Pelodiscus sinensis: one gene and its partners. The protein of the gene in region 1 binds, or shares a complex with, the protein of each later gene. Links are inferred from orthologs where the notes say so. Each region holds a gene or a part of one and is shown in the gene's direction. Other genes may lie near its edges.

What was found.
Region 2: PLRG1 (region 1) and ARMC7 share a complex: the UniProt entries of both Homo sapiens proteins name them as parts of the minor spliceosome. The link is inferred for Pelodiscus sinensis from reciprocal best matches to the Homo sapiens genes PLRG1 and ARMC7.
Region 3: PLRG1 (region 1) and SNRPE share a complex: the UniProt entries of both Homo sapiens proteins name them as parts of the minor spliceosome. The link is inferred for Pelodiscus sinensis from reciprocal best matches to the Homo sapiens genes PLRG1 and SNRPE.
Region 4: PLRG1 (region 1) and SCNM1 share a complex: the UniProt entries of both Homo sapiens proteins name them as parts of the minor spliceosome. The link is inferred for Pelodiscus sinensis from reciprocal best matches to the Homo sapiens genes PLRG1 and SCNM1.

Annotation. Positions count from the first base shown.
Region 1 is NC_134715.1:56,845,422-56,853,168, reverse strand, and holds the start of PLRG1 (pleiotropic regulator 1), read left to right. Parts: upstream 1-4,742; 5' UTR 4,743-4,890; coding exon 4,891-4,899; intron 4,900-6,261; coding exon 6,262-6,368; intron 6,369-7,747. UniProt on the Homo sapiens protein: Involved in pre-mRNA splicing as component of the spliceosome. Component of the PRP19-CDC5L complex that forms an integral part of the spliceosome and is required for activating pre-mRNA splicing.
Region 2 is NC_134730.1:12,490,087-12,497,871, reverse strand, and holds the start of ARMC7 (armadillo repeat-containing protein 7), read left to right. Parts: upstream 1-4,773; 5' UTR 4,774-4,901; intron 4,902-6,098; 5' UTR 6,099-6,102; coding exon 6,103-6,193; intron 6,194-6,364; coding exon 6,365-6,508; intron 6,509-7,785. UniProt on the Homo sapiens protein: As a component of the minor spliceosome, involved in the splicing of U12-type introns in pre-mRNAs.
Region 3 is NC_134737.1:8,527,974-8,535,487, reverse strand, and holds the start of SNRPE (small nuclear ribonucleoprotein E), read left to right. Parts: upstream 1-4,503; 5' UTR 4,504-4,632; coding exon 4,633-4,686; intron 4,687-5,442; coding exon 5,443-5,469; intron 5,470-7,514. UniProt on the Homo sapiens protein: Plays a role in pre-mRNA splicing as a core component of the spliceosomal U1, U2, U4 and U5 small nuclear ribonucleoproteins (snRNPs), the building blocks of the spliceosome.
Region 4 is NC_134734.1:15,658,551-15,666,208, reverse strand, and holds the start of SCNM1 (sodium channel modifier 1), read left to right. Parts: upstream 1-4,644; 5' UTR 4,645-4,797; coding exon 4,798-4,848; intron 4,849-6,231; coding exon 6,232-6,302; intron 6,303-7,526; coding exon 7,527-7,615; intron 7,616-7,658. Other genes in the region: LYSMD1 (lysM and putative peptidoglycan-binding domain-containing protein 1), read right to left, coding at 1,611-1,912, 3,712-3,891. UniProt on the Homo sapiens protein: As a component of the minor spliceosome, involved in the splicing of U12-type introns in pre-mRNAs. Plays a role in the regulation of primary cilia length and Hedgehog signaling.

The DNA of each region.
Region 1 (7,747 bases):
GATATAAATTTTGAATCCATACAGGACTCTAGGAATGGGATACTCTGTACATCAATGCCCATCCCATGTTACTATTCATCCAGGACTCACATACATAATAGAAAAACTTTTTTATATTTAATATGGGAGAAACAGACCTCTAGTATTAACGAATAGATACAAACACAGATGTGAACACTGAGAGGTACATCAAACACATTTGTAATTACTGATTTGCACATATAAACTTGGCAAATGTGTATCCAAAGGTAGCTTAAATATGTCCTTGAACAGCTCAGTTCTTTAGTGAATTTAATTTTTATTAAGTGTAATGAATAAAGTATCACATCATAATGCAGTTTTCCTTTAAAAATTGCTTATTGTGATTCTAGATTAAAAACACGTCTCCTTGTCCACATTACTCTGGTTTATTTCATATATAAAGTTTAATATATTACAATGTCTATTAATTAGAAAAAAACTAACTAAAATATTTCTCTGCATTCTAATAAGTTTAAAAAGTTGGATCAAGTTTTATAAAATTGAAGCTAAACTCAGAAACCAATACTCCAGAGATATTTCTCATTTTGGAATTGTCAACATGCTTTTCAGCAGATTCTGATCTTTATTACAGTTACAGGCAGTCCCCGGGTTACATGGATCCGACTTACATCGGATCCCTACTTACAAACGGGGTGAGGCAAGCCCGCACTAGCTACTTCCCCCCAGCAGACCAGGGAAATGCGAAGCTAGCGCCCCCCTGCAGCAGACCAAGGAGACGCGGAGCGGCTTTTCTGAACAGACACCTCAGCTTGAGAATAAAGGACTGAGGGAAGTGAGGTGTGGGAGAATAAAACTGAGCTCTGGAGAAATGTTTGGCTAGAGTTTCCCCTACATTATGTACTAGTTCCGACTTACATACAAATTCAATTTAAGAACAAACCTACAGTCCCTATCTTGTACGTAACCCGGGGACTGCCTGTATTTAGAAAGCTAACTGTTGCACTCTTCTGTTTAGCATCTGTAATTGCAGTTGCTATGTTTGGATGGTTAATAGCTCGGTGCAATGGTTGTTTATACAAAACCTCTGTGTTGCTACATGGCTAGATGTATTCCTCATCAAATAATCCCCAGAGATTGAGGAGTAGAAATGACACAAGGTAGTCTGGATAAAACATGGTGTTGTTGCAGTTAAAGCTGCATAAGAACGTATCTTCTAAACAGCTCTTTTCAGTCATTTATTAACTTTTTTTTTTTTTTGCCATCTGGCTGAATTGTTTAGGCTAGTGAACAATGTGTATGCACTTTAAAGTTCCTCATCAATTCAGTAAACCATTTTAGGTAAAGAAAATGTGTGAGGTCTTACTCTATGGCAAGCAGACTGGGAGTAAGGGTCAGGCTTTGAGCCTAAATTAAATTAAAGCTGTTTCTCAGCCTGTTTGGGGGTAGTCTGTAAAAACTGTCAACAGGTTTGCAAAGCATTGCTCCCTTATTATCTTCTAACACATGATCAAGATGCATATTTCAATTGGCTACAGCTTTTCATTCAAAGGAGTCCTGTTCTGTCAGGGTGCCAGGGGAAGTTCACTCACTAGAGGGGTTCCCAATGTTACCTCTAATTCTTCCCACCTCTAGTGAAGTGAAATTTGTTGCATGCACCAATATAGAGGTAATGTTTAACACATCACCTTCATATTGGTACACATAACAAAATTCATGGAGTCAAGGGGTTCTGAGTGTGGTAGGGGCTCAGGCCTGGAGCAGAAAATTGGGGTGCAGGAGGGATTTGGCTGAGGGTATGGATTCTCGTATGGAGCTGAATCTGAGGGGTTCAGGCTTATATCAGAGGATTGGAGTGCAGGGATGTGAGGTCTCTGGCTGGGGGTGCAGACTCTGGGGCTGGGTTAAGGATGATAATTTTGGGATGCAAGAGGGAACTCCAGCTTTGGGAAGGGTTGGTGTACAGGAGGGGGTACAGGCTCTGGACTGGAGGCATGGGCTTTGAAGTGGGGCTGGGAATGAGGTGTTTGAGGTGTAGGAGGTGGCTCCAAGTTGGAAGGACTCTGTGTGGTGTAGAGTGTTGAGTGATGGGCTTACATGGAGGCTCCTGGTCAGCAGCACAAAGGCAGGCTGCCTGATGCCTGCCTGCCTCGGGCATCACACTGTGCCCCAGAAATGGTCATCAGCTCCAATTCATGAGGAAAGTGGCAAGAGGCTCCACCATGCGTGCTGCTGTTGCCCACATACACTGCCTGCCCCCAGCTCCCATTGGCTGGTTCCCAGTCAATGAGAGTGCAGTTCCAGTGCTCAATGCATAGAATCGTTTATCCTCTGCCGAGGAGCTGAACCTGATGATGGCTTCCCTGCTGGCCAAGGGTGGTGTTTCAAGAGAGCATGGGGTGTGTGTGGAGGGGGAGGAGGGCAGCAGCTGTGCATACCAAGACACAGCTTGCTTTTCTTCCAGTTCCCCTGATGATAAGGGAACGAAGGGAAAGTACTTGGATTCCATGCATGCCTCTCAATCCTGGCTGGTGAAGGAAGGGGGCAGAGGAGTAATTCACGGAATGCAAGCACTTTCCCCTCATTCCCTTATCATCAGGGGAACAGGAAGAAAAGCAAGCTGTGTCCCAGTACACCCAGCTGCTGCCCCATTTCGCTCTCCCAAAAATGGCACCCTTGCTGCTACCCATGGCTTCTTCCTAATGGGATTCAGTGAGTGGCGCTTCCCTGCCAGCTGTGGCTGCTTCGTGCTGGGGCCAGTAGGGAGGGGGCCTTTGTCCCATCCACCACAGCTCCCTGCTCCAGCAAGTAAGGTAGAGCACCTCTCCCCTATCTGTGGTAGCTTTGGGGTTTGGGTAGAGGCATCTCTTTTCGCTGCCATCCTCAGCGCCTGTGCAGGTCTTAATGGGATGATGAGTGGCCGTCCCACAGCTCAGATAGAACAATGCTTTCAGTAACTCTGGTGTTTGAAACTAGAAAGGACTCTCCTGAAAGTTATGCTGCCCTATATACAGGGCTCACCGCCAGTGGCTTGCTCCATCTATCCCCAGCTGCCTCAACACCCAAAACATGCTGTGAATGCTGTGTCACCACAAAAGGTGCTGTTGGTGCTTGATGAACCAGGCTCATCTAAAATCAATGGCCCTAAACCATACAAGCTTACTTAGAGATGCTGCAACAATATTTATAGTGGAAGGCCAAAGTTGTCCTTAGCAGTTCTGGTGTCCTACACAGCCCCCCGTGGGGGACACTCTGTAGTAGGGGCAGTCCATCAATGAGGGTAGGCAGGAGCAGGGCAGCCAGGCAGGGAAGCAACAGAGGTTGGGCCCACCCCCACACTCACAAGCAGCAGCAAGAAGTGGAGAGACCCAGACCCAGCCCAACTGCTGGTTCCCACATCTTGCGCAAGTGTTCTTGTGCAAGAACACGTTCACAATGCCATGTGCAAGATGTGCTTTTGCACAAGAGCATCCATGGCAGTGTGGATGCTCTCTTGCGCATGAAAGCTCTGATGGCCATTTTAGCCAAAGGGCTATCTTGCGGAAGAAACCCCTGCCAAGCATCCACACTGCCCTCTTGTGCAAGAGAGCTTACACCTGTTAGAAAAGAGCATAGCTCTGGCACAAGAAGTCCTCTCCTACCACGCTTTACTGTAAATCTTCTTGCGCAAGAGCAGATGGGCAGTGTGGATGCTCTGTGGAAGAACGGCTGATCATGTGCAATAACCCGCCAGTGTAGCTATAGCCTTGTTGTCCTGGGAAGGGGTTTAGGAAAAAGGGTGAAACTAACTCTGAACTTGCTGGTGGTGGTGGAAAGCAGTGTGATGTGGTTGGAAGCTAGTGGAGTGGAGCAGGCTGCAGCTGGATCACTCTGCTTCCTGCTGCCACCAGTGAGTATGGGGCTGGTCCTGATCCCTGCTACCAACACTAGGCCCCCGTTTAGTCTCCTAGCCCACTTTGCTCAGGGGTTGGGGTGGAATGGAGGCGAGGAGGGAGCAGAGCAGGGTGGTGTGGGTGCAGCAAAGCAGTGGTGGGGCTTCCGGAAAGGGTGGGGTGGGCTCCACACACTACCTTCCACATCCTAATGACTTAACCAACGGAGGTGCTAATTGTTTTTATCAGCCTCTTGTAACTTGAACAATCTGTTCACTGTCATTTTTCTCTTTTTCTTCCTCCCTTTTCCCTTATTTATTCTTGGCTCTGGACTTTTATTGGATCTATTGCAGGCATCTAAAGAAGTGTGTTGTACCCACAGAAACTCATGATACCATCTACATATTTTGTTAAGTCTTTAAGGTGCTACTAGACTATTTGTTTTGATTAAGTTTTACCCAATTTAGAGACAGCTCTGCTGTGCTCAGGCCACAGGCAGGGGGTGGTGATGAGCCTGGCCACCAGTGCCTGCAAAGCTGCTGAAGGTAATTTGGGGGGTACCCTTGCAGCTGTGCATTTTGCAGACTGGTAGCCTTGCGGGGTGCTGAGAGCTACTCAACCAAACTATAAAGCCTGTATAGAGCCCCCCCTGCATCCTCACGCCAGCACCTAGCGCCGCGCATCTTTTGCAGGGAGCCAGAAACACTTCATCCTTCCGCAGCTCTCAGCGCCCCCGGCACCTCCCCCCGCTGCACTGGGCATCGGGGGGGGGGGGGAGGAAGGAATCGAACCCCCGGCTCCCAAAGCAGCGCGAGCCGCCTCCGCCGGGGAGGGGCCGGGCCTCCCACGCCCGTTAGGTCCGTTGCTCCTCCCGCCTTCTTCCTAGTGCCTCCCGCCCCCTCAGCGCTACAGTGCCGCGCGTGTGCGCGCGCATGTCTCAGCGCGTCAGTTCCGGGGCAGCCGGGCAGGCGCCGGAAGTAGTTCCATAGGAGAGCGGACCGGACAGCGCGGCCGGTTTCCTGCTGGGGGAGCGGGCACCATGGTGGAGGTGAGAGACCGGCCCCGCCCCCGAAACTCCAGCACCCGGGCCCGGGGCTTGCCGTTGCCGGAGCGAGGAGCTCGCGGCCTGAACAACGCGCGCACGCGGGGGGCGGGGGGATTTCGGCCTCCCCTGTGTCAGCGATTAGCTCCGCGCCGCGTTCCCGATACGCCCCCTGCGGGGTCTGTGCCCTCGGGACGGGGGGAGCCGCGTTCCTGCAGAAAAGGTTTTAAACCTGCGGGAAAGGTGTCGCCGTCTCTGCCGCTTGGCGGTAACGTGAGCACCCTCCTGCCGCCCTGTCAGCCCTAAACCCGACAGCCGCTCTCCGGCACTGGGCCTCTGCTGGCTTTACCAAGGGGCTTGACCAGTAGCAAAGGGTATGGCGCGGCGTAGGGGACTGTTGATTACCCTCCCTCCCCATGTGTCTCACCAAAATTTTAATTGCTACATGGGATGTCCCCTCCCCCGCAGCCAGTATTTGCCCCTGTGGTGCTGCGTTTATATGGAGGTCTGGCAGGTAAAACTGGACAGAAAACCATCAGACTAATTTCTTTTATTATCTGATTACATGGCCTGTTAGGTGCCATAGATCTCAAAGTACTTTACAAAAGCAAGTGGCATTAGCATCAAACAATAGGAATTGCAGTGTTCAGTCAGACCAGACCAGCAGATTATCTTGTTAATTATGTTTTAAAATTATATTTAGGCTCTGTAGAACTATAATTTTGTTATACCAATTAGTAATATCCATTTTCATTTGTAAGCTTTTTCCAATTTTTAGAATTTAAATGTTCATGCTTCTTGGAAACTATTGATGGAGGCTCAGACTATTGAATGACAATAGATGTTGATTCAAAAAGTTAAAAGTTTGATAACTGTTCAAACACAAATTGTCAACCTCACATGTCAAAATATAGGAAATAAATATCCTTCAATCACTCAACAATAAATTCTTGAGTAGCTTTTTTTCTCCTGACTCGCTTTATTGGTTATTTATAAAAATGTAGCTGGCAAGTGTAAATAAAAACCTTTTTTGTTTGTCTTCATTAAATTCACTTATGTGCCTACAGTTGGAAATAAAATGTTGATCAAAGTTTTGTCCTGCTAGATTTTTTTTCTCACAGTATCCCATGAAAGGAAAAAATAATTAAGTGGTGATTTAAGTTTGAGGATGGGGAAAATGAAACTGTCTCTTACACCAAATTATAGTTTTTACCACTCAAGCACCACTGCATACACTAAACTGAGTTCGTTTCTTACATATGGAAGACAAGAATCATTAATTTTCTTGGTAGTTTTCAGGCTTTTCATTGAATTATCATATATATAATTAAACCATATATATAATTAAATGTATCTCCTCTGCTGCAGGAGGTGCAAAAACACTCTGTGCACACATTAGTGTTCAGATCCTTGAAGAGAACTCATGATATGTTTGTGGCTGATAATGGAAAGCCTATACCATTGGATGATGTAAGGTAAGAACAACTATCATAAAATTATTGGTATGTCTAAAAACATTAATGTGAGGCCCTCCTTTGCAACTGTTTCCAGTTTCTTTGCTTTCATTTAATTTTTTTGTATTTGGTCCAGTTTAGATTTCATTATAAACTAAAAATTAATTTTGGAAACTATATTTGGTGCTTCTAAAATAAAATACTGATTCTGGGGACAGGCAACTGCTGTTGGAAATTGACATTTAGTAGTCCAGAAACTGACAAGAATGTCATTTTCAGTCAGCCATTGTTGTAGCTCCCAAGGTCTGTAGCTCTCAGGCGGCCCTCCCTGAAGACCACCCTGCCCAATGATCTCAGGGCTTCCAGATTACTAGCCAGCAGCTAGTCAGAGTCCGGAAGCTGAGAGATTCTTGATCCCAGGGCAGTCTTCATGGTGAGGCTGTCCTAGATACACAGAGTGTGGAAGTCAGTATCAGGACTTCCAGGCTCCTAGCTTCATAGCAGGGAGTCTTGAAATCCAGGCTGAAGCTAAGGTTCCCAGGGCTTATAGATTCTCTGCTGTGGAGCTAGGAGTCTTATCTTCTGAAAGCCTGTCTGGTTGGGTTGGGAGCTTGCAAGGCTGACTGGCTGGCTGTCAGTTCAGTGGCAAGGACTTTAATAGCTTTGTCGTAGAGCAGTGGTCCCCAACGCGGTGCCCGCGGGCGCCATGGCACCCGCTGGGGCATTCGTGTGCGCCTGCCAACAACTTGGGCTGGCCCTGCCCCCGGTGCACTGGAGGCCCTGGCCCGCGACATGCACCGGCGCTGGGTGCGCGGCGCTCGGGCGGCCCCAGCCCTGGGGCACGTGCGGGCGCTCGGGCACGCGGTACTCGAGCAGCGCTGGTGCCAGCTCCAGGCGCGTGGCTTGGGTGGCAGCGCCAGCCCCGGGCCCACGGCACAAAGCGCTTGGGCAGCCCCAGCCCCGGCCCTAGGGCACACACCGGCACCGGGTGCAAGGGCATCCCAGTCCCCTGACGTGCCCCAGGACGCGCGGCCCCGCTCCCGGGCGCCTGGCGCGTGAGTGGCCCCCACCTCCCGGGTGCCCAGCGCGTGAGTGGCCCCACCTCCCGGGCGCCCCGGAGCCTCTAAAGGTTGGGGACCACTGTCGTAGAGGGATTGCCATGGAAATGTGAACTAGGGATGTAAAATCCCATTTAGTTGATTAACTGTAATGTGTAACTGATTAACCTATTAAAGGTGAGGCTGCCAGGGGACTGCTTTAGCCTGTTTGTGGACTCCCCCACCCCTGACGTGGACAGAGGCTGGTCTGGGCAGTCTGGAGTGCCCCATCTGAAACAGCCCCCCTATGCGCAGTGGGCGGGGAGCAGCTCCAACCCTCACTGGTTAACCAAAACCAGTAAG
Region 2 (7,785 bases), on another chromosome or scaffold:
ACCACAAAGGGTACTTCTCGATGGTACTGCAGGCACTAGTGCATCACAAAGGCTATTTCACCGACATCAACATGGGATGGTCGTGAAAAATGTATGACACGTACAGCTTTAGGAACTCTAGTCTTGTCAGAAAGTTGCAAGATGGAACTTTCTCCCCAGACCAAAATATTACCATTGAAGATGTTGAAATGTTTCTTTGGATGTTGACTTCCTTCATGGCTCATGAAGCCGTACACAGGCAGCCTGGAGAGCAGTAAGGAGTAGTTCAACTACAGGCTGAGCAAATGCAGAAAAGTGACAGAATGTGGTTTTGAACATTTGAAGGAAACGTTTCACAATTTACTGACTGACAGCAAAAGCAACATTCCCATTGATGTAGCAACTTTCTGTGTAGTCCACAATATCTGTGAAAGTAAAGGGGGGACATTTTTCCGGTGGGATGGGAGGGTTGAGGCAGATCTCATTCCCCTGGTTTCTGGCTGTTCATAATTAAAGGTTAGGTGAATACATAAAGGAGCAGTGAGAATCATAGAGGCTTTGAAAGCTAGTTTTGTGAATGACAAGACAGCAACATGAGTCATGTATGTTGCTCTTAATAAGGTACCCACTGAATTAAGTGTTGGCCTGTAAACCATCCCCCCATGTCAAATTTAGCATTACTCCTCTTGCCAAAGAGGAGTTCAGAAATCATCTTTAACAGCCTTTAAAGTCAACAGAATGGGGTTGGTGTTTAGAAAATAGACCTAACATAGCTAAAAAAAAAATTAAGGAGATATACCTCTCATATAGAACTGGAAGGGACCTTGAAAAGTCATTGAGTCCAGTCCCCTGCCTTCACAGCAGGACCACATACCCTCCCTAGGTTCGACCTAAACTCATAGTGTAGACCAAGCCTAAACTTTTTCTATCAAAGCTGCCCCGATTTACACTGAATTGCTTTAAAAATTAGTTTAAAGAACTAATATAAACCTATGTAGGCATCTGTTTAAGACCGTTTTTATAAAATTTAGCTCACACCTGTAATTTTACAAGTAATACAAGTAAATACAATATAAATAAATAATACAGGTGTCAGCTAAACAGAAACAACCAGGTTTAAAATCATTTAACAGTGCTGACACCAGTGACACCAGTTCAAGTGAATTGGTTAGAATCACATCTATGTTTGATTTAAATGTATGCAGTGCAACTTTGTATTTAGATCAGGGCATTGTACTCTGGCACAGAGTTATCTTCTGTTCTTTGCTAGATGTTCCTCCCATTACTGGCTTCACTCCACTTTTCCTTTCATAAATAATTTGTCTTGATGTACATAAGCTGTTTAGTCTTTTCATTCTCTTTCCCTGCACTCTGCCCTATTCCTCTTTCCTTCCTTATTTCATTTTCTGTTCTCCAACATATCGGCTATGTCTACATTGGCACCCTTTTCCAGAAAAGGGATGCTAATGAGACAAGTCGGAATTGCAAATGCTGCGAGGGATTTAAATATCCCCCACGACATTTGCATGAACATGGCTGCCGCTTTTTTCCGGCTCGGGGCTTTGCTGGAGAAAAGCGCCAGTCTAGACGGGATCTTTCAGAAAATAAAGCCTTTTCCGGAAGATCCCTTATTCCTCTTAAAATCAGGAATAAGGGATCTTCCGGAAAAGGCTTTATTTTCCGAAAGATCCCGTCTAGACTGGCGCTTTTCTCCGGCAAAGCCCCGAGCCGGAAAAAAGCGGCAGCCATGTTCATGCAAATGCCGCGGGGGATATTTAAATCCCCCGCGGCATTTGCAATTCCGACTTGTCTCATTAGCATCCCTTTTCCGGAAAAGGGTGCCAACGTAGACACAGCCATCCTGTATGTTTTCTCTCTCTTTTCTCTTCCCAAGGTTCTCAGTCTCATGATATATTTAAAAACTTTATTCCTACACAGACTTTTACCCACTGCAGTGATAGGTATCCCATGTAATTTCTTTTAACATTGTTTTGCAAGTCAGCAAGTCTAATGATTTACATGTCAAAAGCAGAAACGCGGGTGGTGGGAACCCACAGCGGAGACTGAAGCAGTCGACTCTGATAGAGGCAGCAAAAGGGGTGGGGGGAAAGCAACTAGTCAAGTTGACTATCCGATAAACATTTGCTTATTGGATACTCGACTAGTCACTTACATCCCTACCCTGCACTCTAGTCCCCTTCCCTGGGTCACTACTGCCTTCTTCACCCAAACTCCCTCCCAGACTCCATTCTCCCTCATGCACCCCAATCCTTTACCCCAAGCTCCCTTCTGCACCCAACCTCCATCTTAGACCCCACATCTCCTCCATCAAGAACATGGAAGAGTGCAGCCCTCGACCACTTTCCAAAATTTTGGAGTGGTACCCCATCAAAAATTATTGCCCACCCCTGGAATAGGGGATATAAAAAAATATTATTATAAGCAGGTCTCGACAAATAATGTAATCTACTCGCCTATGGCGAGTAGATTACAACTCGGAAGAGCCGGCGCAGAGCGATCTGCGCATGCGCAGAACGGCATGGCTGGCGAGTGGGGCTTGCCACCACTTGGCAAGCCCTGATTATAAGGAAATACAAAAATAATGAGTGAAAGTCTTATTTGGGGATATTTAGGCCCTTCCTAGAGTGCAAAAAAAAAAATTCCTGCTTTAAAACACATTGTTTTTTATTACAGAAAGAGTTAAACAAATACCATAATGTGTATTTACATCTGTAATTTCAAGGGAGAGTGGTCCCTTCATATTTCAATCAACAATACAAAGCCTGCTGTGAATACCACACAAAGCAATAACAAATGGGATGCACTTAGGGATCAGTCATTTTATGCTTAAAATTAAGCTCTTCAATCACTCTTAAGGATGATTTATCAGACAAAAGCTGTAGCTAAAGTCTTATTTGGTAGTGTGCAACACTATCATGGCAGAAACAACAGATTACAAAAATCACTTTAGATAAGATATAAAATGTTACATCAGAGAGATCCAGATTTCTAGACACTTCTCACCTTAAGTGACAATAAACTCAGGTATATTGTCACCAGTCAATTATTTTAGCACTTATAGCACCATTCATCCATGGATCTCAAAATGCTTCATACAAGCGGGCAAGCACTGTTACCCCACTTTACAGCTAGGAAAGCTGAGGCACAGAGGGTGTTTCTTGATTAGGCAGCGTGGTCAAGTTCAGATCACGCTTGGTTAATACAAGTTAGCAAAACCTGACCTTCTTTCCCCTAGAATAGATGCAGGATACCATCTTCTAGGCCGCAATTTGATTAGCTAAATATGTCTAAACTAGGAAAAGGGTCTAATTTAAGTTAGGCTCGGCTAACATATTAGCTAAGTTCAATCTAAACTCAACTGCTTTTCCCAGTGAAGACAACCCCAGAGAAGCTGAATGACAGTGACTCGTCCAACATCACACAATGCAATTCACTGGCAGAGCTAGGACTTGAACTTATCCCAGACTGCCAGAGCCCTGATCTGACTAGTAGATCACAATACCAACACGGGGATTTCTGAAGCCATCACTCATGCATATCAAGCAAGTTGGGGGAGGAAACTCCAGCCAATATCCCTGCCAAGCCGATGGAAGCTTCACTCAGTCTGTGCGCACTGTGTGCCATGTGCAAGAGTTGTATATATTCTTCACTTCCCAACACAGCTCCCCATCCCTACTGAAGGGGTGAGCTGGGCTCCCTGGAGCCCTCTCAGCCTAGGAGGAAGCTTTCCTCTCTGCCAGCTCAGCCAGCTGCTTCTGGCGCCTCTGCAACACCTCTTGACGCATCTTCTCATGGTGCTCGTGCTCCCTGGCACGGAGCTCCTCCACCTCAGGGAAGAAGCGGTGCCTGAGACAGAGAAAGACAGTAACTGCAGTGCACTGAGCCCCCCTGAAACTTCCCAGTTCCTCTTACTCACCTGAGTCCCCCACCAAAGCCCTGCCAGCCATGTCCCCCAATGTTCCCCCAAGACCTTCTGGCCAGGTTCCCACAAGATCTTCCAACCAAGGGCCCCCAGAACCTCCCCCACCCAGATGAGCCCCCCCAAGGTCTGCCGGCCAAGGCCGCCAGGGTCCCCCCCCCAGATGAGCCCCCCAAGCTCTGCCGGCCAAGGCCCCCAGTGTCCCCCCACTCAGATGAGCCCCCCCAGCCAAAGTCCCCAGGGTCCCCCCCCAGATGAGCCCCCCCCAAGCTCTGCCGGCCAAGACCCCTAGTGTCCCCCCCCAGATGAGCCCCCCCAAGCTCTGCCGGCCAAGACCCCTAGTGTGTCCCCCCAGATGAGCCCCCCCAAGCTCTGCCAGCCAAGACCCCTAGTGTCCCCCCCAGATGAACCCCCCCAAGCTCTGCCGGCCAAGACCCCTAGTGTCCCCCCCCAGATGAGCCCCCCCAAGCTCTGCCGGCCAAGACCCCTAGTGTCCCCCCCAGATGAACCCCCCCAAGCTCTGCCGGCCAAGACCCCTAGTGTCCCCCCCCCAGATGAGCCCCCCAAGCTCTGCCGGCCAAGACCCCTAGTGTCCCCCCCCCAGATGAGCCCCCCAAGCTCTGCCGGCCAAGGCCTCCAGGGTCCCCCCCCAGCTGAGCCCTACCACCCAAAGCCCCCCCCACCTGTGCACGAAGGCGGCGGCCAGCGCACACAGGATGCTGCCGAAGAGGAGGGGCTTCGCCAGCCGCTTCCGCGCCGACATACGACCCATAGCGGGACACAAACAGGACCCCCCCCCCCGCCACCCTCCTCATACGTCACGTCCGGCCGCTCTCACCATTTCCGCTCTTCTTTCGAGTGGCCCCCCGACGTTCCGCCCCTCTCTCCCCGCGTGCGCAGGCGCGGGGAGGGGCTGGCGAGGCGCTGCGCGCGAGGCCAGAGGGAGGCTGGAGCGGCCCGGGACGGGACAGCGCTGGAGACGGTGCGAGCTTGGCGCTGGGTTGCAGAGCAGGGTCGCCCTGCAGCCCCGGGCGCGCGGTGCAGGGTGGCTACAGCTTGTGCTTTTCAGTGGGAGAGCTCGTGGTTTTGGTGCAGTTGTGGAATGGCTGGGTTTGGCAATAGTGCGCCGCGGCCCCTTGCAAGCCGCCCATTCACCAAAGGTGGCAATGATGGAAGCTACAGTGTAAAGTGAGCATTGGGGGTGCGTCTAGACTGACAAGCTTTTGCTGCAAAATCTTGCCAGCTGTCTACACTGGCCCCTTGAATTTGCACAAGAGCACGGACTTTGTAATGGATAAAATCAGTGCTTCTTGCACAAATTCTTCCACGCTCCTGCTCGGGAAAAAGCCCTCTTGTATAAGAATACTTGCGCAAGAGGAACAGTGTAGACAGGGAAGAACTGTTTTGCGCAAAAAAGCCCCGATGGCTAAAATGGCGATCGGGGCTTTCTTGCGCAAAATCACATCTTGAGTGGCCATGGATGCTTTTGCGCAAAAGCATCCTTGCCAAACTAGACGTGCTTTTGCGGAAATACTTTTAACGGAAAAGTTTTTCCGTTAAAAGTATTTCCGCAAAATCATGCCAGTCTAGACGTAGCCTGGGGGATTACCAGCGTAAAAGGGTTAAAAGACTACAGTAAAAACTCATGGCTAGCCTATGCTACAGGCTGTCCTAAGTCCAAGATACATTCCAAAAAACTAAACTTATAGCGAAACAACTTAAGCAATTCCTGGTGACTGACTTCCATTTGCACAAATTGGTTGTTGTTTTTTTGGGGAGGGGGAGGGTGCGTGACTTAAGAGCGGGGAATGGGAGGACTCTTAATGCATCAGTTCCTACAAGAGTCAATGACTTTAGTGTGGAACAGATATATGCTGGGGCGACTTATAGTGGAGACTGATGTAATGGAGCTGCAACAATGCTTGATGAAACATGGGACAATTGCCAATGATTCTCAGTGCAAATAAGATAAACCCAGTTGTAGTGAGCATGTTTCTGATTCAAACCTTGACAGGGCTGGTTATACTACCACTTTCAGTCCCCTCAGTGAATGTGAAGGGAGAGAAAAGAAAACCAATTGCCTAGTCTATACTTCTCAGAATGTTTTTATTAACCTTGCAGTGAAACTGAGGTCATACAGGACACTATTTTGAACAAAACTTAATTTTCCTCTCTTTAGCACCATGTCTCAAAAGCAGCAGGATCCACTGGACCTGGGGCGGCTTGAATACTTGCAAGCACTGGTCACAGAGTTCCAAGTAACAGAGTCTCCAGGTGAACTTATAAGCCTTTTTTTATTATTATTAAAGTATATTCCAAATGTCAGGATCATAGCTGGCTCATCAGTTATTGGGGGGGGGGGGGGAGAGAGGTTTTCTTCAGAAATGGGACAGCCCAGCCCACCTCAGCTGCCTCATTCTTCACCTAAATGCATATATATTGCAGAAGCCAAGGAGCAAGTACTGGCTAATCTAGCCAACTTCGCCTATGATCCCAAGAACTACGAATATCTCCGACAGCTTCAAGTCCTTGACCTGTTTCTCGATATGCTCACAGAGGACAATGAGACCCTCGTGGAGTTTGCAGTTGGTAAGGAGTAGCCTTAAAACTTTGTAAAATGAACAACAGTAGTTGAAAGCACTAGTTGGATTTTGATGGATCAGGGGATGTCAGCCTTGCTGCTTTGATTCTGTAGTCCAACTGAGCCAGTTGTAACTAGCTAATTGGGCGCCTAAGGCAAGACCGTCCTCAGCGAGGGCGGGGGTACTGATATGGCGCAAGGCATGAGCGAAGACCGCGTAGTAGCTGTCTTTTCTGTGCCGCCTCAGCCATGCACCCGAGGCAAGTGCCTCACTCACCTCGCCCTTGTTATGGCCCTGAATTGAACTTGGGGGAGAGGCTCAACTCCATGACAAACCATCTATGGCAGATGTTGCTCAAACTGCTTAATGCCCTCAGATACTACAGCGATGATAGGAGTATAAAAATCTATACAGAACAGCTGAAACAGGTGTGAGATCAGGATAGGAAAGCTTCCTAATTGTTAGGGTGGTTAAGCACTGGAATAAATTGCCTAGGGAGGGATCTCCCTCATTAGAGAGATTTAAGAGCAGTTGTGACAGACGTCTCTCAGGGATGATCTAGATCAGTATTTTCCCAATGGTGTTCCGCGGAACCCCGGGGTTCTGCAAAGTGAAAATAAGGGTTCCATGAGAAAATTCCATTACAATTATATTTTATGATTTAAAAAAAATTTAAGCATTTATGAATTTTATTGAAAACAATTTTCATTTGTGTTTGCCACGATAAGTGTCCTTGTGTAATGTCATTACGCTGTGCACACAGTCAGACAGTGGTGTGATCGCCTGTTATATACCACCGTAAATACCCATACTCACTCATTCTCAATGTGTTTTGTTTTTAAATATGTGCAATTAAACTAAATGTTGATCTCATGAACTTGTTTAGCATTTTTTTATTATCCTAACTTATTTGTGGTCTACTTTTTCAGCTCCATATATAAAAGATTGTTATTAGGGGTTCTGTAAAATTCTTTCGAGTTTAAAAGGGTACCATGGCCAAATAAAACTGGGAAACATTGATCTAGATGGTGCTTGCTCCTGCTAGGAAGACAGAGGGACTGGACTTGACCTCTCAAGGTCCCTTCCAGTTCTAGTATTCAATAGGACTTGAGGTGAATTATTTCATATTAAGGCAACATTCCCCTTCACTCTACTAACATGCTGCAGTGCTGAAAATTAAACTGTGTAAGATTAGATAAATCTCTAAATAGTGAAACACAAAGTGTAGCTTAATGAGAGTTTTTAACCCACGTCCTTATTGTAATGAGACAACTATTGAGAACA
Region 3 (7,514 bases), on another chromosome or scaffold:
CAAACGTGGTCCCAGCAGAGCTGGGCCCAGTAAGGCTGCTAATACAATCAATCCTAGTATCTTTATACCATTAACCAAACAAGTCTGACGTCGGGGCATCCAATTATAGAAATCATTAATTAAACTTAGAAAAGCAAAACCGTTATCAGCAAGACAGTGGGCAGGTACTAGGGAGTGGGTCTCCCTTCTCAACCAGCTCAATTAACACATTCCAATAGCTCATCTTGCAGGCCTCTATCATGGGGTAACAGAAAGTTCACTCACTGGCGTACATGCAGAAGCAAGAAGCTGAAATGGTTTCTGTTATACAAGATGGCTTCTAGCTAAATCTGAAAATGGTTTCCACAGAATGCAGAGAGGAATCAGGATGAGCTTGCAAACAATGGAAGGCAGGCAGTGGGACACTGTGTGTGTGGAATCGCAATACTTGAGTGTGTTTTTTTTCATCCTTCAGTCTCCAAGCGCTTCACAAAACTGGAAGAATATAATTGCCATCTCACAGAAGAGGAAACTGAGACACAGAAAGGTAAAGTGACTTGCCCAAACAACAGTGCATGCCAGAGCTGGGCAGAGCACAAAGCCCTACAAATGGAGGGGGTGAAGCCACTGGAAAATTCTTAATGTGCTTGCTTTCCTCAACTTCATCACAGTCTTCTGAGAGTGAGAGTGGTTGTATTATTCCAGCATACACTTGACAAACTGCAGTAATGACATATATGTATGGCCTCCTAGAACTGGGGACAAATCTACTTTAAAGGAGAGGAACAAAAGGATAGCAAGGCAGGCATCCTTTTTGTGCCTACCATGCAAATGTTCATCTTGATCTGAACATCCATGTTATCCATTGCACGGTTGTCCGGGAGAGGATGTAGGGTGAAGTGAGTGGAATTTAACAGTGACCATATTTTCTGAATCAAAAATAGGGACACCTTGGCCACACCCCCTGAAACCATTAGCGGGGCCCCTGACCCCTTAGGCCCTACCTACCTGCCACAGGAAATCCCACCCCTGGGATAGTATTTCCAGGGTCAAGATGAATATATCACTGGAAGTAAAGGGTGTCATGTGACCCCTCTAAAGCACTCCTCCCACCATTCTCTACCTAGAGGGATCTATTTGGGCCCCATAGAAGTCTCCCATGCAACTATACTGCAATTGCATAGACCTAGGGTCCCATGATAGTGCAGTGCTAGGGGTCTAACCTCGATTCAAGATGAGATCCAATAAGACCTATTACTTTGCAGTGTAGATGCAGCCCCATTTGACTCAGAACCTGGGAATCATCCAGAACTATCCCACAATTTCATGGGACAATTTCCATAGTCCTCTTAATGGATGTTTCCTACTGGCTCCAATTAACTGGTAATCAGAGGGGGCTGGAGCTAGGAAGGGGGCTGCTCCAGGCTCATAGAGGGCCTGCTGCAGATAGGGGTTACGCTCATCCAAATCAGCCATTGTCTCTGGAGAACTCGGGGGCCCCAAAGGCATGGACTGCACCTCTCTCCATGGGGAGTCCAGCTTGCTATAGACAAGGGCTGCTCCAGAAGGGGCTGGGAACCAGCGGCAGCCCCACTGTGACCTAACATTAACCGGTTAACTGATGAATGGGAATTTACATCCCTAATGAAATGGACTGCAACCGCATTTTTTGAAGTAACTGCAAAATTATGAAGTGTCCTCCATTTCCACAAGCCAGAATGACAATACCGAACCATGACAATTACAGGGTGGGGAAGACTATGTCATGAATCCTCATTACCTCTGCTTGAAAGGTACATTGCCCATTATATCAATGGGGCTAGGCTATTTTATATGTAAAGCTACTGAGAAATGTCTATGCCAATACCATGATGGCAATGCCTATATTACGTAAATAATAGCTAATAATAATTGCCAAATGAGACCACTTCCCAACCTGCTTACAAAGCGCCTGATCCAATTTAATTTTAAGCTAGGATTGGGCCCAAAGCAATCTGTTGATATTACCTAAGAAGATCTGGGTAATATTTAGTCATCCTTCAAAAATATAAGGGACCAATCAGTCAAAGCCCCACTGCCTGGTAGAGGCAAACTGAAGAAATTTGGAGAAACTTTGAATTTACTTCAGACAGCAGCACTTTCTCTCACTAGACATGGGGTCTTTAGCACAGGTTTCACTTTGTGTCAGAATAACTAAGAAATGCGTTCTCAGCTAGCTCCATTGAAGTCTAGGCAATGTGTAGCCCAAAGACAGAACAAATTCCTTTGAAGCTGGAAGTCAAAACATCTCACCTCTTCACAGAGCTCACAAAGGGCTTGTTCACCATGACACAACCTCTCTGGAGAGAGATCATAGAATACTAGGACTGGAAGGGACCTCGAGAGGTCATCGAGTCCAGTCCCCTGCCCTCATGGCAGGACCACGTACTATCTAGACCATCCCTGTTAGACATTTATCTAGCCTACTCTTAAATATCTGCAGAGATGGAGATTCCACAACCTCCCTAGGAAATTTATCCCAGTGTTTCACCACCCTGACAGTTAGGAACTTTTTCCTAACGTCCAACTTGTCCCTCTATGGAGGCACCAAGTATTTTCACCTGGCATATTAACACATGGTTTAAATCATTAACTGCTTGGATGAGGAAAACTCACAAAAAGTCTGTCCATCATCCACACCTGAGTGACTGATTTCACCACTGTGGTAACAGACCCAATCTCTCTGGGGGCTCTTCTGGAGCAACAGGGAGACTGGGGATGTCTCTCGGGAGAGAGGCCAGGGGTACCTCTATTTCAGTCATTTTCAACCTTGTTGAGCCAGGGGGTCCAATGGCCAATGTAAACCTTTCCATAGACCACCAGTTGCTAATGGAATCTCACTGTTAACTACAGGCAGTCCCTGGGTTACGTACAAGATAGGGACTGTAGGTTTGTTCTTAAGTTGAATTTGTATGTAAGTCGGAACTGGTACATATTGTAGGGGAAACTCTAACCAAACATTTCCCCAGAGCTCAGTTTTATTCTCCCACACCTCACTCTCCTCAGTCCTTTATTCTCAAGCTGAAGTGCTATCAGACCATTTGTTGTTTTTTAAGTTTAGATTATTTATGGCCGGCATGGGGAACATTTTTTGGGTGAGGGGCCATTGAGCCACAGAAAAGTCAGTTGGGGACCACAGACATGAGAAGCAAAAGAACTTCAAAAACCCCGAACCCTCACCAACGTGACCCCCAACTGAGACACCACATTCCTCCAGCGTTCCAGCCCCAACTTTTCTGGAAGATTTTATGGAGCCCCCTTAGTTTCTGGGTTGGGAACAAAAATCAGGGGTTCAGTATGTGAGACAGGGCCACCAGAGAATGGGATAGCGATGGGGTGCAGGATCTGGGAGAGAGGTGGGGGGAAGAAGAGGGAGAGGTTGCAAGGTGTGGGTGGCAGGTAGGGTGCCGCAACAGGCTGGGAGTAGAGTATCTGGCTAGGGGGAGAGGACAGTGTGTGGTGAAGGAGGAGGGTGCAGGAGGAACGGTGGACGCAGGAGTGGATTTGGGCCTATCAGGGTTTTTTTCTGAAAAAGCTATGCAAATTGCACGCCACAATTTGAGTAGCTTTTTCCAATTGTTTTTCCACCATTTGGCCCCGTCTAGCCAAGCCCAGCCATGAGGTGGGGTGCTGCTCTCTGCCCCTCCCCTTCCACCGGGCCATGGGGGGTGCTCTTCTTCACACACCCCCAGCAGAGATGCTCTTCACCGCACTGCTTCCCCCCTTTCCTCCCCTTGTCTGTCCCAGCTGGCAGCCCAGCCACTTACTCGGCTTCCCAGGCTCCTACGGGCACAACCTCCTGCTTCTTCTATTGGCTGGATCCTCATTCACAGGGAAGTCCCAGAAGCATCCCTGACTCCTCCTTAGGGAGGGCTAGGAGGGAGGAAAAGAAGCAGAGAGGGACTTTTTTCCGGGACAAATCTGGGGGGTGTCGGGACACCTGGAAAAAACATTAAAACTTGGGACAGTCCCGGATTTTGGGGGCCATAGGGTCACTATGCTGAGCGTTGCAAATCTGCAGATCTCTGCGACTAATTTTTGGCCGATGGGTGCGGGGGACAGTCTTTGTATCTAGAACCCTGCAAATGCGCAGATCCCGGGGGGTATCCGCACCCCGGATCGAAGGCAGCGGGGCCTGGTGTCTGCGGTACCAATGCTGCAGCGGGGCTCTAGGTGCAGGCCCTGCAAGCATCCTCCAGTGTCTTAGTCTAGTCCAAGGCCGGTGTGTGTCTATTGCAGAACATTTACTCTCAGGGTGGGGGGGGGGGGCATGGCATGAGTTATTCCTGCAACCAGCCGCCTTCAGCACGTGGCTTCTCTGTCTGGCACCCCTGCCTGGCCTGCTCTGCGCAGCCGCAGCTCCAGGCTGGGGGCCTCGCCCGCAGTGGGACAAGAGACAGAGAGAGGCGGGAGCAGTAGAGGCGGGACGGCAGTCCTCCCAGCGTGCCAGAGCGGCCGGGGAAGCTTCCCGGCGTTCCGCGGGGGCAGCCGCGCTTCCGGTCTGGAGCGGAAGCCGGGCAGCTGCTGCGGCGGGCGCGTGGGGGCCGCGGCGGGTAACGGTTTCTCCTCGTCTCTCTCTCTCTCCTGCCGGGTGGCTGAGGCGCGCTCGCGGCCATGGCGTATCGCGGGCAGGGCCAGAAGGTGCAGAAGGTGATGGTGCAGCCCATCGTATCCTGCCGCGGGGGCGGGGCCGGGCTGGCGGAGTCGGGGGGGGCCGGGAGCCTGAGGGGGGGGGGTTGAGCGGGCTGGTGCGGGGGGGGGGGGCGAGATGAGTGGGGGGGGCTTCCGGGGGAGAATGAGGGGTCTGAGGAGCCCGGTGGGGGGGGGGGTTGAGCGGGCTGGCCCGGGGGGGGGGGGCGAGACGAGGGGGGAGAATGAGGCGATGAGCAGGGTGCTCGCAGCGGGGCTGGGCGCTGGAGCCGGGGGGGGGGGGGCTGGGCGCTGGAGCCGGGGGGGGGGCTGCCATGCAGCTCCCAGCCCCTCACCCAGTATCACGTGCTGGGAATCGAGGTCTCCTCTCAGCACGCGCCGGGGATAGGCCCTGGGTGTGCGGCGGGGGGGGGGGGGGGCACTTCCCGGGTCTCAGAGCCCATCCCCGGCGCTGTTGGGTTTAACTCCCGGCTGGAAGGCGCCTGTAGGTTTCGCTGGCTGCTGGCGAGCTGCAGGGATTTATCCCTAGAGGTCGTTCTGTCACCTCTGGCCTTAGGGAGCACTGGGAAGGGTAGAACAGGATAGAAGGGGGACAGGTGGGTTAAATGCCAACTCGGCATCGCCCCCCCGCCTCCAGAAATTGTTAATTTTTATTTGCCTAAAAGTAAAGCACTTTTAAAATGGAAGCTTTGGCGATAACCAGATTAGTTGTTACAGTGACCCATGTTGCAGTCGGTGCTGCTTCTGTGCTTTTCCTTAAGTGCTGTATTACAGAACCTCATCTTCAGATACCTGCAGAACGTAAGTCATACTGTCTAATTCTCATTGCATGCCTGTTCATTGTCTGATTGTAAATATGACCCAAAGCATGTATTTAGCCACTATGGTGCCACTGAGGTTTGTATCTGATGCATCATCTTTTTGGGATGGGGGAAGTGCATCAGATTTCCAAGCAGATTTGTAGCATTTGCTGTTGACCTCTTTTGAGATTAGTGGCCTCTCCACATGACATTAACCCAGTAGTGCTGATGTGTGGAGAAATTGCAGTCAGGAAAAAATGTAAATTAAACTTGCTTTTTCCAACACTGTGAGGTTTCTGTAATATTTAGCTTTTATTTGGAAGCGATAGCGTATAGCATTTTTTATGCTGTTTGGTTTATATTTGTCTACTGTAGGCTTCTTTATACAAGCATTGCTCTCTGATTCATGAAGTGATCATTTTCTTCCATTTCTAGCTAACAATTATACTGATAATATTTAACATATTAGCCCTTAAGTGTTTCTGTGACAGTCATTGCCGTAGTTTCTTAAGATAGATATTTTTTCCAGAGACTGTTGAAGCAACTGTGTGTAATTTGGTGACGTTGTAACCCAGCTAAATAGAAGATGAAGATTATTGGCACATGGCATAATAGTGTGTGTGTGTTTGTGGTGGGGAACAAACACTGAATGATTATAATGAATGAATGTGTTAACTGTTAAAGCCATAAATCCTGCTGTATTGTGTTGAAAGTTGGCCATGTCATACCTATCTGGAAAAATAAGTTCCTACACACCAGTGTGCTATACCACCATAAGGGCTGGGGAGATGTTTTCCACTATCAAGTAAAAAAATAGAAATATTCTTTTCTGCGCTGAGTTAAATGATTTGTATTAGAATCTGATCAGGATGCAAGGGTTTTGCATCTTTTGAGGTTTTTTACATCTGCATGAAGTAAACAACTTTTGACTTGTATCTAGTTTGCAACTTGAGCAATTCCCAGAGCCCCCTTAAACTGCTGAAGATTTAGTTTGTCATTATCACTGGTTGTATTTTTTGGTGTTATGCTGCTTTGTGGATGGAGCAAAGAGCTTTTGCTTACTAGGCTGTCAGTGCTCTCATTAAGGTGAAATAGCAGATTCCATGATTTGGACCTTGTACCCAAATCTATCAGAAGAAAATGCATTTCTCTCTAGATTGACCTATTTTCTGATAAGCCTTGGGTAGAAAAATTACTGTAGTGTCCTAACGTATGTCAGGTCAGTATTAATTTGGTCCCTAAAAGCTACCTTGTGATAGCCCACTGAGTTACATGTTAACTTCTGATGTAGGTTTAGAGCCGTGGTCCCCAACAGGGTGCCCGCGGACGTCATGGCGCCCACGGTGGCATTTACGTGTGCCTGCGCCAGCGTTTTAAAACTGCTCACATTCACCCCTGCTTTTAGAGCAGGATCGGCAGCCTGAGACCCACGAGGGAGCCCGACATGGCGCTTTGGAGGCTTGAGCCCTGCACCCACTGCAACAGGCAGCCCGCGTAGGCGCTTCAGTATCCAGAGCAAGCCCCACGCTCGTCGGGTTCTTCCCCCCGCCCCATGCAAAACAGTCGTAGCGGGGCCCTTTGTGGAGCAGGAGCTGTGAGCCGGCAGGGGAGGGTCCCTCATGGCTGCTTCCCCCCCCCCCCCCCCCGCACAAGCCCATTGTCCGGATATGGACAATGGCAGCTGCGGGAACCTACCAATCCCCAAGCACATGGCCAGGAAGGTCCTGTGGGAGAAACAGGAGAGCAGCGTGTCTCGCTGGTAAGTGTCCGGTCCCCCAGCTACTCCCACTCTGATATCTTCACCCAGACTCTCCTCCCAGACCCTGCACCCCAATCCCCTGCCCTGAGGCACAATCCAAACTCCTGGCTTTGCCCCGCCCCCCCCCCCCCCCCCCCCCCCCCCCCCCCAGTAAAATGTCTGGTATTTTCAGTTTCTCAGCTGGAAAGCCACTTGGGACATTCTTCCCCTGCCATGTGGAAGGGAGTGTGAAATTTAAAGGTGCCATGGTTTTTTTGGGGGGGAGGGGGGGCGCTTTTTTTTGCTCA
Region 4 (7,658 bases), on another chromosome or scaffold:
GGGAAGGAGGGACGACTGTAGAAGCTCTGTGGGATCTTTGTTCAAAGCCAACAAAACCCTCACATGGCTCGGGAACCTCGGGCAGAGTGTGAACCAGCAGAACTGGGGGCAGGGTGGGGGGGCCATGGCCTGGGGCTAAGACTGAGGGCCAGGAGCCCAGGGCTGGGAAAGGAGGGGGCTGCGGGTGCGGATTTAGGGGCTGGAACCTTGCTCAGTTCCGAGCAGAGAACTTCACCGCAGGCAACGGCGCCCTCTAGTGGCCCCCAAGTCTAGCGGAGCTGGCTTCGGAGCCGGGGATTCCCTGTACAGCAGCCAGTGGGGGGCCAGACAGTGGCCACAGGCTCCTCCAGCTACGCTCTGAGCCAAGGCACTGGCAGCGGATCCCCCTGCAGCTCTGCACCAAGGGGAGGACAAGAACCCGGCGGTTTCTAACAATCCAAGCCATACGGGGACCTCTGCCCCGTGAGCCACAGACAGTGACAGACTGGATCCATCCCACCTAGCGTGTCCTCCCCCTCAGGAGCGACCAAGGGCCGTTTCCCCTGGAGGGACCCAGGAAACAGCCTGGGACCCTGGTGAATTCCTTCCCACCTCGGCAGTGCGCAGCACGAGCCTGGCAGGACACGATTTCTTAGCTCTTGCCAGCACAGCGCCAATAGGAGATGAGGGGGGGGGGGGGGCAGGGAGGGGCCAAACAGCATCACGCTGCCGTGCGCGGCTGTTCATCACCTTCAGATAACTCCTCGTCATTCACGCGCAATCAAGCCTCTCCTCCCCGCGCCGGATCCCTAGCTGCAACGCCAGCGGCATCTGCACTTGCCTGGCCACTGTACAGCACGAGGAGGGGCAGGATGGGGGTTGGGGAGGCCCGGAGCAGCCAAAGCCTGGGGCATACATCACCTCTGCCCAGTCAGCAATGAAGAACCCCTCGCCGTCCCCCTCAGGCCTGAGCTCTCTTCACGTCAGCCCCCACCAGGATACTGCCCATTAGCCTTGGGGACCAGTGTTCCCTGAAAGCTGAGCCCCGAGGTGACCACCCAAGAGAGATTCAAATGCCACCCAGTGGATTAGCAGAGTGCCCTCCAGTGCAAACAGCTGGCAGCATGTTTCTATTGGTGGTGCACACTGACACATGCCTTGGTGCATATAAAATATATTCCTCAAGTGGATGGGAAAAAATGAGAGAGACCATTCTTGGGGACTCCTGATTAAGTCTGGGCCAGTGGGGAAGGAGCAGGCTAAGGGGCAGGACATGAGTGGGGTCTCACAGGTTTCGGGCTGCGGGCTCCTTTCTTTTTAAATGAGCACAGCACTTGATTTGACAGGGTTTTCATTTCTCCCCCCCCCCCCATGGGTTTGTCAAACCTGAGCTGCGGGTGCTCGGGCATCACTGCGCCTCCTATGGGAGGCAGCTGAAACTTGTGGGGTCCCCTTGCCCATAGCAGCCCACAGAGGATATCAGAGCAAACACAAGGGCAGCCGGCAGAGACTCTCCTTCTATGCTGTTAGCAGGGGCCTATGTGCTGGAGCAACAGGACTGGGGTTCCACCCCCTGCCTATACAGCCCGGGCACCACATTAGCGCCACAGTAACTGCAGGGTGGCACTCACGTTGTTTCCCCCTCTCTCAGCTTCTTCACCGCGGCCTTCTTGGACAGATTGATCTCGGAGTCGAGCTTTCGTAAGAAATCCGTGGCCGAGAGGTCATGACGGGGGGTGGAGCCTGCGCTGGCCGCAGAGCTGTTTTTCAGCACCAGCGTCTCCTTTCCCGTGGCAGGCTGTGTGGCTCCTTCCTCCCGCTTTAAGCCGTTCACCATCTCCTCGGGCTCCACCAGGACAGGGATGTGCAGTGTCGTCTTGAGGAAGATGGAGTCACTGGTGTACAGACGATTTGCCCGCTTGATCTGCTCCATCTGGGAAGGCACCATAAGACTTGTAAGCCCACTAGCCTGCGACAGACATCACCAACCTTCTCTATTCAGAGCATGGTCCTAAAAGCTACTTTGCAAGCTGGGTGCCTAATATCAGTCACTACCAAAATGCAGCCACTTCTGGGGTGGAGGGCACCAGTAAGCAAACAGAACACCACACAATGAGAGAAAGCAGGCACACAGCTGGCCTGGACTGCAAATGCTGGGTTTGTGCTGGCAGGGAGAAGGGCTGGAGGTCACTAGAGATTTAATGTTGAGGATGTGGGGGGACAGACTCCGCATGCTTGAGGCTCAGGTTTCAATGCAGCCAGATGAGTCTGTGCTCTCTCACTGGAGGGGAGAGGGCCATGCCATTGACAAGTCTGCTAGCGGGTCCACCCCACCGGTCTCCTATGCTCTGCTGGGGGTGGGAGGGATGAGGAAAGACAACCTGGAAACCCTTCACCACGGCACATGCCTCATCTCCAGCCCAAAGACCAAAAAACCCTCCTTTCTACCTTACTGGCTGCTCATTAGGTCCCTGCAAAATGAGCTGGCAGGTTCTCAGCACTGGCACTGAAATAAAGCTGGCCCCCTGGCTGGCAGCCCCAGAGAAAGCTCCCCTCTTTCCCTGCCCCTCCAGCTGCACGGCAAGGCACTCCTGCAGCGAGCAGCATGCATGTGTTCTAGGGAAGAATGAATTGCTGTGGTCAGGCTCCAGGCCTATCAAGGTTTAAACTGCTGAGGGCCACTACTGCCTGACCACACCACAGACAGCAAAGCTGGCCCGGCCCAGCCGGATATGTGTGTGTGGGGGAGGGGGGGGATTTTGTTCCCATCACCAGGGGAATTTCTGCTGCATACACTGAACTCCTGTGAAAACCACTTGGGGCCACAGAACACAAAGTTGCAAAATACAGGAAATGAGAAGGGTGCAAGTTCATGTGAATGCACAAGTGCACATTAGCCGGATCCCATCAGCCACATGAAGAGGCAACAGCACACCTGGGCAACCATGAGGAGACAGCAATTGAAGGATTGGAACCCTCAGACCTAAATCTGCATGAGACTTCAGACTTTCAGCCCTCCCGTGCATCCACCCATACTCCGAGGACCCCAGTGGGGTGCCCACTCCAAGTTCCATGATCAGGACGCTGGACTATGGCTTTGATTTTCTGCCAATCCCCTTCTGGAGTGCCATAAACTATTATGAATCATTAGGTGTATTGCAGAAGCCTCTAGGAGCCTCAGCCAAGAACCAGGAGATCCCACCACAGGGGAATCAGAGGTGCCTGGACGCAAGAGAGGTGACTCCTGCCAGCAGCCCCTCTTCTTAGGGGTGCTCATGATGGGAGCCTCCCTACTTCACCCCAGACATTCAGCAAACAAAAAAGCAGTAATGCTGAGTATTTTAGCAGAACTCCTCATCCAAGACACACAAAGCACAGTACAAAATGGGGTCCCCCTAATCAGTGGAAATCAATGAGGCCCCAAGCTGCAGGATCAGGGCTGACACAAGAAAGAAGGGAAGCCGGGACAGGTCAGGTATCGAGCACTTTACAAAAGGTACATCCATGGGAATAGCTTTTTTTATAAAACGGAGAAAAAGGTATAGAGTGGTGACCAGAAACCAGAAGACATGGCTTCCTGTTCCCTGCTCCATCCACAAGACCCTACTCCCCTCCAAAGCTGGGAACAGAACCCAGGAGTCCTGGTACTGCCCCCTGCTCCAACAGTGGGACCTCATGGGCACCCCAGCTACATCCCCCAGATCGCAAGGGGAAGCTGCTGCGCAGACCTACCGTGACGCCATACTTGAGTGCCAGCCCCTGCAAGGTGTCCCCCGGCTCCAGACGATGTTCCACCCTCCTCTCCCTCACCGGGGAGTGTGTCGACTTGATGAGGCTGCCGTAGGACCGGGTCCTGCTGCCACAGAGCAAACCAGCCCCTCCAGGGGATCCTTGCCTGGAGGGGGAGGCCATCTCCCCCCCCAGCCCCCAGTCAGTGGTGCAACCAGTGCAGGCGGCAGAGGGGCCTGGAGGGGTCAGGACTCCTGCCAGCACCCTCTTTCCTGAGGGGTGCTCATGGCAGAACGAACAAGGGCCTCCCAGGCAGACTAGGGACCCCCCACTTCTAGCCCCCCCGCTTCTAGCCCCCCCCCAAAGGGTCTCTCTCCGGTCTTGCTTCTTCTCCCCCCTCTCGGCCTCTAGTCCAGGGCAGGGGGCCACCCAATTTCCGCCCCACACTGCAAAACGCAGCCTGCACGGATGGGGGTGCAGGGGGTCCCTCGATTTCCTCCCCACCCCTTCCGCCGGAGAGGGATAAGGGGGGGGGGTTCCTCTATCTCATCCGCGCCGCCCCCCCTTTACTCGGGGGGAGGGGCAAATTACTCTCCCCTCCCCCCGGAATCCAGCCACCCCACGGACCCCGCCACCCCGCGCAGGGCAGCCAGAGTCTGCGCTGCCTCCGCTCCGCCCCGCCCCAACAGCGGAGCGGGGCCAACCCCCGCCCACTCCGCGCAAAGGCCTCTGGGAACATAGTCTCTCCCTAGCAAGCTCCTCCCCGCCTAACAACGCTCCGCCCCTTTGGAGGCCACAGGAGAAGCACAGCGGGGAACATCTCCCCCCTCCCCCCCAACCCAGCCACAAGCGTCGCCTCGCGGAAGCAGAGACGTGGGTGAGGACTACATTTCCCAGCATGCCCCTCGCCTTCTAGCCCTCTCCACGCATCACGGCGGTTTTGACCCCAGAGGCCTATCGGTGCCGAGCGCCCAGAGGCATGCTGGGAAGGGTAGTCCCGGAAGTGAACCGAAGAGGAAGTGCGGGGTGGCTCCAGTTGTCATGGTTACCGCCGGTTGGGAAGGGGTCTAGCCCTCCCGGGGCGCCGCCATGTCCTTCAAGCGGGAGGGGGATGACTCGGGCCAGCTGAATGTGCTGCAGGTGAGCGGCGGGGCGGGACACCCCGGCTCCGCCCCCCGACCGACCCCCCCCAACCACCACGGGCCCCACAACTCTCCTCATCCCCAGAGCAACTCCCTGAGCCCCTCAGCTTCCCCAACGCCGCCCCGCTGGCTCTTCCCGCAGCCCCTCCCAACTCCTGGCAGCCCCGTTCCCCTGTCCTCCCTTCAGCCTTCCCGCAGCCCCAGAGCGCCCCCTGCTTCCCCTCCCAGCCTCTCCCCGCCCCCCCTTCAGCGCCGCCACGCCCCCTCCCCAAAACAATCGCCTCAACTCCCTGCCGGCCTCCCATCCTCCCCCAGCCATTCCCCTGCCCCCCCCGACACTCTCCTGCCCCCACATTGTTCCCCCTGCTCTCCCGTCCCCCAAACAATCGCCTGCCCTCCTCCCAACCCTTCCCCCCAGCCCCAGAGCGACCACCCGGCTGCTTCCCTGCTACTCCCCCCTCCCCTTTACTCCCCATCCCCAGAGTGGTCCCACAACACTCCTCAGCCCTTGGCGCCTGCCTTCTGGCCCCCTTCTCCTGCTTCTATTCTTAGCCATTGCCACTGGTCTGCAGGATGACCTTGGGCATTTCACTGCCCTGCTCCGTGCCTCAATTTTCCCATCTGTAAAATTGTAATAATGATAATACCAGCCTCCTTTGTAAAGTGCTCTGAGTCCCACAGTAGAAAAGCACTAGATAAGATCTAGAGGTGGTGGTGGTTGTTCTATAGGCCCCTATCAAAATGACAATCCATTTTGGTCAATTTAATGGTTACAGGATTTTTAAAATAATACATTTACTTATTTTGGCTATCTAAATCTGAAATTTCAAGGTGTTGTAATTGCAGCAGGAGTTGTGGGGGGAAGGGACGACTGTGGTACTTTTCCCTTATTTCTGCACTGCTCCTGGTGGCAGTGCTGCCTTCAGAGCTGAGCATCTCTAAAAGCAGAGCTGCTGCCAGCAGCAGCACAGAAGTACGGATGGCATGGCATGGTATTGCTTCTCTTATCTCTGTGCTGCTGCTTGCAGGATGCTGCCTTCAGACCTGGGTGCCCAGCAACAGCCATGGCTCTATGGCCACTCAACTGTAGGCAACGCAGAAATAAGGGTGGCATTACCATGACACCCCCCCCCCCACACACACACACACAACTCCCTTTTTGGTCTGGACCCCCAATTTGAGAAACATTGATGTCTCCCATGAAATCTGTATAGTATAGGATAAAAGCAAACAAAAGGCCAGATTTCACAATGGACGGCTAGGTTTCATGGTCCGTGACTCATTTTTCATGGAAGGGCCCAATTCATCCTGGTGCCAGGTGCTATGCCGCCCACACCCAAAATATTGATTCCTCAGTAACGTGGCCTGTTCATTTATTCAGAAAAGAAGAGTTGCAGATCTGCTGGCAAACTATATCCCTGAGGATGAGGCACTGTTGCTAAGGAGCGGCAGGTATGTTAGATCTATTCTAAGGTAGGCAGCATTGTTCTGAGAGGACCATGTGCCATAGGAATCAGATTACAGATGAATCTTTGAACCAGTTCAATTAATTGATTACTGCATATATTTGGGGGGCTGAAGCTGCAAAATTGACCACGTGACCTAATGCACAGAGTACCAAAGTGGGAGGCAGGACACCTGGATTCTTCCTGTTCTGGTACAAACCTCTTTTGTGTCCATGAGCAAATCCCTTTATCACTCGGTGCCTTAGTTTCTCCATCTGTAAAATGGGGATAACAATGCTGCCCTTCCTTTCTCAAGTGCTTTGAGATCTAGTGATGAAAAGCACTTGATAAGAGCTCGCCTAGGGGTGGTGGTGTTTATTAAATGTTCTGATCTGGATTTCCAGCATTCAGAAATGTTTTGCTCAGGCCCATTATAAAAATAAAGATGGTCTGTAAAACATAAACCTGGATCTAGCTTTGGACTTGAAACACCACCAAAATCCAGGGTGCAGTGCATTGAGGCTGATCTGGGGTGTTTTGTTTTTTGGGTTAGTTTTCATTTTGGCTTTGCAGAGAGTTCCTGTTTCCCTTCAGATATAAAAGAGCCACATGCCCCCAAGAGAGCCTCTGGCTAATATTACAGACTCAGACAGGTGTCACCGAGGTGTGAGGGATTACTACAGAACAGTACAGGGCAGTAGAAATCATGTGCAACATAACAAGCGAACAGAGTGAATACAGCTTTCAAACTTTTAAATGCCTAGCAGAGAATGAGCATAAACCAGTGGCCATGGGGCCAGGAATTTGGGTTTCAGTTCTTGACTCTCCTTGGTTGTCACTTAAGTTCTGACCTGTTTCCCTAAATTTCAAACTGGAGATGATAAAATAAAGGGCATGTGGTCCAGCATCCAGGACACTGGTGTGGGAATCATGACTTGTTGGGCAAATCTCTCAGCTTCCCCACGTGTAAGATGGGGTAGTAACATTTATCCTGGCTAGCTGTGCTCTGGGAACCTTGGCCAATTATATTTGTAGAAATCCCACTGTGTTGAATGACTTTGAGGACCATGGTCATTTATTCTAGTGAATGTCTCTCCCACTTGCAGTATTACCAAGTGCACTGTCTCTTAATGCTAATAAGAAAGGCTGGGCCCAACTGCCCTAGCAGGTATGCATGAGGGGGCAGGGATTATCCTGGCTTGATCTGACCATCTTTCCTCTTCTTCCTCAGATATGCCTGCACAGTGTGTTTCCACCGTCCGGTCTTCGACACACTTGACATGCTGACAGTCCACAGGGCTGGCAAGAAACATGTAGCTAGTAAGTCAGCCCCAAGGGCTCGGTTGCTCAAGGAACTGCTGAT